Linked DNA regions of Saccharomyces cerevisiae S288C. The gene in region 2 interacts genetically with the main gene of each other region. Each region holds a gene or a part of one and is shown on either strand. Other genes may lie near its edges.

Evidence for each region.
Region 1: mutations in SWI4 (region 2) and MNN10 together harm fitness more than expected from each alone (negative genetic interaction), as found in Saccharomyces cerevisiae (4 studies listed by BioGRID).

Annotation. Positions count from the first base shown.
Region 1 is NC_001136.10:950,812-954,481, reverse strand, and holds MNN10 (alpha-1,6-mannosyltransferase), read right to left. Parts: upstream 1,683-3,670; coding exon 501-1,682; downstream 1-500. Other genes in the region: TRAPP subunit TRS23, read right to left, coding at 1-194; PEX5 (Pex5p), read right to left, coding at 2,081-3,670. UniProt on the Saccharomyces cerevisiae protein: Required for polarized growth and efficient budding. The M-Pol II complex possesses alpha-1,6-mannosyltransferase activity and is probably involved in the elongation of the mannan backbone of N-linked glycans on cell wall and periplasmic proteins.
Region 2 is NC_001137.3:382,095-387,783, forward strand, and holds SWI4 (SBF complex DNA-binding subunit SWI4), read right to left. Parts: upstream 3,783-5,689; coding exon 501-3,782; downstream 1-500. Other genes in the region: karyopherin KAP123, read right to left, coding at 1-9; U6 snRNA complex subunit LSM4, read left to right, coding at 5,138-5,689. UniProt on the Saccharomyces cerevisiae protein: Part of a complex involved in cell-cycle-dependent transcription. SWI4 and SWI6 are required for formation of the cell-cycle box factor-DNA complex. The repeated element in the upstream region of HO (5'-CACGAAAA-3') is called the cell cycle box (CCB).

The sequences.
Region 1 (3,670 bases), on a different chromosome or scaffold from region 2:
TTTTCGATGTTCGTTTGTTGAGTTAGCTGTAATGCCTTCGGAGTCAGCTGGCTCGCGATGGCGAATACACCGTGCAGTGTACTAGCAAGAATTAAGTATTCATTGCTGTTCAATTTCTGTTCGTCGTTGGTAAAATTCCGCTGATAGATTAGTCCGCCTGATTTGTTTATTACAAGTATTGTTTCGATGGCCATTTCAATTTTTCCCGTTTAAATCCAACACTAAAATTGCACTTTTGAACTTATGCAAAGGCAGATTCCTTTTTTTAGTTTCACTCTTTTTCTTCTCTTCGCACCGCCCAACTCCTGCCGAGGAGGCATAAACTCCAACATATGATGGAAAAATAAAAGAATGTGTAGCATATTATTGAAAGAATCTTCTATAGGCCTAAATGTACATAAATTATAAAACAACATTTTAAAGCAGAACCAGTAGTGGAAATTAAAAAGAAAAATAAAAGCTTGTAAATGCTTCTCTTTACAATATTGATAACTTCCATTTTATGGGAAGAAAAATCTCGTGTACCATTTCCTATTCAGTTTTTCCATTAAAGTGGTGTAGTACTGCATCTCGCCCCAGCAATCTCTGCCAAAATTGCATCCGGCCATATTCACAACAAAATCATGGTCTTTCTCACTGTAAAAGTATCTTGAGTCACCACTGTATTCAGAGCATGCTCCCGGTGGGAATGCATTGATCGTTCTTAAGGGCAAAAATCCTATTCTCGAACGAATCCACGGTTCGTTTTCATATAATGCCTCTAACGCATCTTGTTCTCTATGTTCCCAAACCATATGTTTTTGTTCATACAGAACGGGGTCCCACCACATATCTAGAAGCAGCTTAGACCATTCGCTATTTTTTATCAGAAATGAGCCCAAATTGAAGCCTCCACAATCTTGTGTTATTAGAAACTCCATTTCCTCTGAATAATCGACATAGGGTATGTCGTCTCTTAGGTTTAGGGGATTAAAACTTTTCAATTCTCTGTCAGCCAGAGTTTCCAATCTGTCGAAAATATGTTCTTCTAATGATTTAGAAGGCTCCATTATCATAGTATCCAGGTCCAACCACCAGAACCATTCTGCATTAGGAAACTCCCTGAACGTCTGTCTCAATATATCTACTTTTTGCCAACCCTCTCTGTATTCGTGAGAGTATCTTTTGGACGTTGTCAAATCCTTGATAGTCAACGCATATCCATGTCTCTTCGCATAGGCCTTCTTATTTTCTATTGATATGCCTTCGATAGCCCATTCTTGCTCATTTTTCCACCTCAATACACCACCACCTTCGTTTGCCGCTAATATAATGACAATCCTAGGATCTTGATTCCAAAACGACCATCTTGATCTCTTAGAATATGGTGGTACATATCTTTTGGAGTTGATGCTAGAACCAGTATTACTCAACTTATTATCGTTACTATTTTGGCCTTGAAAACTTGTGGTAGATGGATTTCTGCTTATGGTGGAATCGCTTATCCATATGAATAAAAACAAAGCTAAAGATATTAATAGTATTAGCTTTCTCCATCTCGCTAGCGAACTGCATAAAGTTTTCCTCCAGTATATCATTTTATATTTCAGGCCTAGTTTTGAGCCTCTGCTCTTCTTTTCATCTTCATCGTACTCTAGATGGTTGGATATAGGAAGTTGGGAATTATAAGGTACACTAGACATATTGTATAGTTGTACATGCACAATTATTCCTTATAAAAATAAATAGAGAGCTTTTCTCTCCCTGATAAACCTCCTTTGGCCTTCAATCCAAAAATTCAGGTGCGGAATCAAAGATAACTTTTAAACTTTATATTTAAACAATTTTTTCTGTTTTGTTTGTTATGTAACATCCACTTGAGAAGAGCGAAAAAACAAGAAAATAATCAAAGAGAAATGTCATTATGGACGACTGTAAATAGAGCAGCAATTATGACCTTTGAATGCATGTTTTCCAAGGTTGAAATCTTGCTGATAGTATTTATAAGATTTTTTATTGCCTTATATATAGGATAGCTTGTACTGCTAATGCTAATGAATTTGGGCAGTGATGCGAGAACATAAAATTGCGGAGAACCATATCAAAACGAAAATTCTCCTTTAAATCTTTTCAGGTCCATGCCTGGCTTCACTTCTTGAAGTAAATCATCTCTATTCATCGCTATAAAAACTCTCTTCAAAGTCTCTATAACAGTATCATTGTACGTATTCAAGAGAGATCCAACGTCTCCTTTTTTATTATTAGTGTTCACTTCATGCATACTTAGAACACTTAATAAGTAGCCTGCTGCTTCTTTGAAACAGCCTATATTCATGGATGATACCGCCAGATTATAGCGAGCTCTAACAAAAGAAGGTTTTAGTTGTAGTGCCCTATGATAGGCTTGGATTGCTTCCTCTGATCTATTGGAATTGGCCAATGAAGCCCCTAATCTATTCCACATGAGTTCGTCATTAGGATTCACCCTCAACGCACTTTCAAAGCAATCTATGGTTTTGTCAAAATCATCTTTCGTGTAAAATAAGAGACCCAAGCATAGTTGTATTTCAGGATCTATTGTGCTTAAATTGTTTGCTAGTTGCAAAAATTGCTTTGTGATATGAGCGTTCATATCAATATGGGTAAACCCTTTCTCTTTTTGAAATTTGTCATCTTGTTGCTTGATCCTTGACCAAATTTCCGGGTACTTAGTTTCTGCCCATTTATCCAGCATTGTGAAGGCGCTCATATCATAACCTTCGTTTATATAACTTATCGCTAAAGTTTTCATTGCCTCCAGATTCTTTGGGTCTAACTTTAAACATTCTTCGAGGGCGCTTATGCCGTTCAACTCTTTTTCATTCTGGGTTTGTACTAGACCCAATCTTAGCCATGCATCCACATGGTCCGGTTTTTCTTTAACAGCAGCTTCAAATGCTAGCGCTGCCTCGCTCAATTTGGCTCCGTTTTCCATCAGTAGGCAGCCAATTTTATAAGCATTAGGATTATTAAAATATTCGTTGTTAGATTGAAAAGCATACTCGATGTTCCCATTTACTCTACCGCCGAGATATTTCAAGTAGTCTTCTCCTAGATTGAGGTCATCATTAACTAATTCGGATGGCAAGACTTCTTCAGCGTCCTTGTGTATGCTATCCCACACTTCTTGGAAATCAGATTGATACTGATCTCCATATACTCCTTCTTCCTTCTCAACAGTTTCTGGTTTGTTTTGTTCTACTTCACTCACATTTTCCTCCTTCTCTATTTCATCATTTATGTCCAAGTTTTCTGAGACTTCTTTTTCCAGCTTTTCAAACTGATCTGTCCAGGGTTGTTGTTCTTGCTCATTGACTCCTTCTTTAGAACGACCAGACTGTTGTTGATTCATGAAAGCAGGCGATTGGAGCCTTGATCCACTAAGACTGTTCATAGAAGCATAAGCATAGTTATTCATCATGGTATTAGGGTACTGAAACCGGCTTGATGCGGTTGTTGAGCCACGCTGCCATGCCTTTTCTGAATTTCCTGTATCCGCGTTTCTATTTTGAATACTATTACTACCTTGAAATTCCTGTGACCAATGAGATATATCGTTCACTCCCTTAATTTGGGTTGGGTTTGCTGAAGTCTGTAGAGAATGTACGTTTGAAAAAGGTGGAAGCCTGCCTGAGGATGGCCCTATTTCCAT
Region 2 (5,689 bases):
TTGATCCATTATACTACTTGATACTAAAAAAGTGTTTTTCGTCCCTCAGTTTTTATGCTGCTAAGGCAGGATTTTGGTAATATACAGAAACGAGAAGAAGGATCCTTGCGGGGTCTTGCCTATTCTTTTTTGTTGACTAATAAAATCAATACCAAACCTGACAACAAATAAAATGAAGGATCTATGGATAAGTGGATGTTTCTATTTTTTTTTTTTTTTTTTTTTTTTTCGACCTCATCTCATCGCGCTTTCCATTCATCATATTGTACGAAAACAAAGCACAATCGTAATAAAAGACATCCTGATAATTAGCAAAGGGCTAACCATAATAGTCTAAGTTTAGTAGTTCAAATGTTTGTTGACATGCACTTGAAGCAACTCAAGCGCAATGAGAAAAGTGACTATACAAATATGTAAAAAATTGCTACCAAAAAAAAAAAAAAAAAATTTAAAAACTCTGATAATATAGTAAAAATTATTGGTACATTGTGAATTAAAATTTATGCGTTTGCCCTCAAATCCTTTTCTATATCGTCCAATTTTGAGTCAATGTTCTCAATTGTGATACCAATCAAGTTTCTGTATTTATCTAACTTCACCGATGAATTAATTTTGCTTTTAGCTTCGCTTATTTTCAATGTTGTCATCCTTCTTTTAAACTGTAGAATAGTTAGTTCCGTTGCTAGTCTCAACGTCTCATTTACATCATATGATTCTTGTACAGTATTAGAAAATTTGGCGTCCGCTTTGGTGTTTTTAGGAGAAGAAGTTTCCGACGTTGACTTTGGAATTGGCTCTTCATCTTCCTGTTTTTCTGGATGTGAACTTGAGTTAGTATTCATATCAACCTTTGATTCCTCATCCTGGACAATTGTAGCCAGTTTTAAAGCTTGAGATTTTTCCAAGCTTTGAATAAAATTTTGCTTTTCAGAATTCAACTTTGACGATGTTTCTTTAATCCTTGATTGTAAATCTGATATCGAATTTATGGGAGTTTTGTTTGATACGGAATCGAAAGCATCCTCTATTTGATGTGCTATTGTAATCAATCTCTTCTTATTGTTAGAAATAGAGGATTCGGTTTCTACTACTTCGTTGTCCAGATTTTTAATTTCTTCACCCATTATTCTTTGTAGAGAAGAAACTTTTGTATTTAATTTGTTGATCTGCTGCGAAAGCGGTTTTGAGTACTTTCCTAGTGGAGACATCTGTATCGGCAGAAGGGAAGAAGGCGATTCCAATGATGGCATGGCAGTTTTCACACTATTCAAGGGATCCTTTTTCTTTTCAACTTGATTCTCATTATCCTTTGCCTTTTCTTTTTCATCTGATATTGACTGTGATCTTCTTCTGTATAAAATGGGAGAGTTTTCAAGAATTTTGGACGGCGTAGACTTTATATCTTTAATGACAGACGACGTCACGAAAGAATTAATATTCGACAAGTCTTCCATAATAGTGTTCATATTTGTAGAATTTGGCTGGTTGGAATGCAGGTATTGACTTTCGTTGACTTCAGAATCTGTTTTAGCTATATTGACATCTGCAGTAGAATCTTCTTTATCAGGATGTTGAGTTTTTATAATTTTTGGAATTTTGACATTGTTTTGTGGTTGCTGTTGCTGTTGCTGTTGTTGGTAATAATTCTTTTGAGGAAGGTTTCGAGCTAACTTTCGATCTGCCTTGGTGTTGTTGTTTCTGCTGTTTGACCCGCCAGCCGGAGTATTAAACTTATTCATTATTGACGCAGGCGATTCGTTATCTAGATTCAATATATCTGTTGACGCACCAAGATATACCAGTCTGTTGTAAACCTCGAAGTTCAAGTTTAAAGCAGATAAATGCAGTGGAGTGTTCCCTATATTATCTTGGTAGTTCAAACATATCTTCAACAAATTGTAGTCCTGCTGACCCAAGCTCAATATTATCGAATCCATATAAGATTTTATTATCATTGGATTTTTGGACTTATTAACGCTCAATTCAATTAAATAATGAAATGGCAATCTTCCATTTACGTCGGGAGTTATAAGACATATTTTTAAGATGGATATTATTTCATCGAAAGCATTCTCCTTGTAGCAATTGTTGTAGAAAATTGATTTTGTGATGCAATTAAAACCGAGCTTATTACACTGTAATGCATTAGCATTTAAGGTAATTAGCATTTTTATCAAAGGAATATTCGCCATAGCTGTAGCCCAATGGAGTGGAGTGTGACCTTGATCATCAATTTCAAAATTTATGTTAAAATTTTTGGGCGCCGGATATAAAGTAGCCAACAACGCTTGATCTACATCAGAAGACCTTTCCGATGATAGTATTGTTAATATCGTCTGCTTGTATTCTTGATCTGTCATTTTGTTTTCCAACTTGTTTTGAGATGAAGTATTTCCTGCGCTGAACGGTGTCATAGATCGTGAAGACATATTCATACTGTTATCATTTTCATTTGATGAAAATACTTCAATGGAGGAGCCATTGGATGCTACAGTGTTGTTGTTATTGTTGCTGCCGTTACTGTCACAGTACTCATTATGGTGATCATTTGGATTTTGAAAGGATTGCCATAATAAGGGTTGCTTCATTAATTTGAAATGCCTTTGTATTTTTTCTTGCTGGTTGTAAAATTGTTGTTCATTAGATTGATTCAGCTTTTTCCTCCTTTTTTTACTATTGCCATTTGTAATGGAGTCCATCATGGAATGATTGAAGTTATTCGTCAAATATTCATGATGATGTTGTTGTTGTTGTTGGCTTTGCATAGGTCCGTCTGGAACTATGATCAAGTTATTATTATTGCCATTATTATTGTTATTACTGCTGTTAATGACATTGTCGATGTTATGGCTGTAACTATTACTGTCATTATTATTAGGGTTATTCAGAGCAACGTTCTTGTTTTGTAAATTTGTCGGAATTGGAAAAAATTGAAGAGGTTTCTGAGTTGCCGAATAATTATTATTGAAAGAGTTTTCATGAATGGATTTTTGTTGTTGAATAATAGTAGATTGATTGCTGTTGTTACTAATATTATTTATTAAATTGTGTCTTGTGTCATTGTTGAAATTCATCGTGGTGTGGTTATCATTATTGTTCATTATATTCATTGATGAATTTACTTGGAACTGTTGAGGAGTTTGGAAAACAAGGTTTTGTAAAGGACTTGGATTCGGCTGGTTGATCGATGCATTTTTCTTGCCTTTCTTATTCGCAGCTGTAGTTGTAGCCGATGTTGATGAACTACTGTTCTTTTTTCTTGGTGTTTTATTGTAGCTCGATGGAGAAGTTATCTTCGTTCCCGGCGAAGTCTTCCTCAATATACTATTTTTGCTTCTCTTTGGTGGAGGGTTATTTGGATCGAATTGAAAAGTTAAGATGGAGTTGACCACAGGGTCAATTATTTCGTACTTATTGACTAAAAACTTCGCTGAATCCAGTGGGATCCAAGTACCTTGAAACCTACCATACCCACCTTGAACTTTTTCATGTTGCATATCATTTGATTCCTTTTCCAGTATTTTAGTTCTTTTCGTCTTCGAAAATTGAGCTATTTTGAAAACCTGGGTAATATTAATCCAATCATCTTTAGTTCTTCTCATCACTATTTTAGTTTCAAACCCACGTATATAGCATTCGTATACATCGGTTTCTGAATACGTAGCTATTTCAATCACTGGATGGTTTGAATGAGGCGCCAAAAGAACTGATTTTGATATTGGCGTGATGTTCTGGTGATTGGTATTATCTTTTTGGTTTGATATCAAAACATCAAATGGCATGATTTCTCGAATAAATCAACCTTTTAGAACTACGCAAGAGGGACAGAAGGGAAATGAGAAAGAAAGAAGAGTTAATTTTCGGCAAAGAGCAATTATTGTTGACAATATATCAAATAACGTGAAATAATGTACCTTTTTTTCAAAGGGTAAGTGGAGGAAGAATCGTTTGAAAAAGCGACGACCAATGCTAGATGTGATTCTGCTGTAACAACAATTAATAGTAAAAATAACACAATACACTAAAGAGTTTCTTTTTTTATTATCTCGAAAAAAAAAAAAGCTTCCAGTTGAATTTAGCAGCAAATATTAGTCAATTAGTTGATATGCTAAACCAATGCTAAAGGATGGCAATAACTATAATATCTTTTGTGCGTTTTTCACGTTGACGTGCTTCTTAGTCCTTGTTCCTCTTTTTTTTTTGTTAGGTTAACCATTTATTTCCTAAACGGGAAATAAGCAGGCGGGGAGCTGAATATAATTAACTTTCGCGTCATGGTTAGTGACGCGTCACTTCAAACGCGGGTAACAAAATCAAGTTGTTTTTAGCCGCCGAAGGTAATTGTATCCATAATGAAGGCTAGATTAAACCAATAATTTGTAGTGACAAAATTTATAGTCAGTAGCAGGTTCTCTTTAAATTGAGAGATTTCGACAGCCTTTTACTAGATGTCTAGTTTAGTAAAACTAATTTTCGTATGCTGCTAAACGACCTAAGATCCGCAGTCACCTATCGTTTAAAGTACGCAGTCACAATGCGGTTGAAATGTAATGTACTTATATTACCTCCTTCTTAAGTAACATTTCATTTTTTCCGCCACCGTACACAGAGTAATTGCTTCGTTCGTTATCTACTTGTACTGAAGTCCCTCTAAACCTACTGCCTTTTATTTTTAGGCTCTAAAATAACCATGGACAACGTGAATTGGGTAGCATCTTTTTTTTAATAGATAGTTTATTATGTATAACAATAATTTAAAGATATTCATAGTGATAAGTAATTTTAAATGAGTTTAAAGTACTACTTTTCCTTTACCGCCAGTTTCCTGTACTATGAAAAAGGCAAATTCCGCATTGTAGCCGCCCACACGCATTTTGATCATCAATTACGAAATTTGCCGCACACGTGTCACGTGATAAGCACTCTTACTATCATGTTTTACGGAGTAGCAATGATGTTCAATTATTGCAGCTTTCTTTCGTGAAATCGTAGTATCATAGACCTTCCTAATGATGGAAGCGGTAAAGAAGGAAATCGTAAAAGTAAATTAACGAAGTAGTATTAGTAAAACAGAGTTGAAAAACTGATAAATCTTCAACTCGAACTGAAAAGAAACACAATAGAATATTTTTTCTCAATGCTACCTTTATATCTTTTAACAAATGCGAAGGGACAACAAATGCAAATAGAATTGAAAAACGGTGAAATTATACAAGGGATATTGACCAACGTAGATAACTGGATGAACCTTACTTTATCTAATGTAACCGAATATAGTGAAGAAAGCGCAATTAATTCAGAAGACAATGCTGAGAGCAGTAAAGCCGTAAAATTGAACGAAATTTATATTAGAGGGACTTTTATCAAGTTTATCAAATTGCAAGATAATATAATTGACAAGGTCAAGCAGCAAATTAACTCCAACAATAACTCTAATAGTAACGGCCCTGGGCATAAAAGATACTACAACAATAGGGATTCAAACAACAATAGAGGTAACTACAACAGAAGAAATAATAATAACGGCAACAGCAACCGCCGTCCATACTCTCAAAACCGTCAATACAACAACAGCAACAGCAGTAACATTAACAACAGTATCAACAGTATCAATAGCAACAACCAAAATATGAACAATGGTTTAGGTGGGTCCGTCCAACATCATTTTAACAGCTCTTCTCCACAAAAG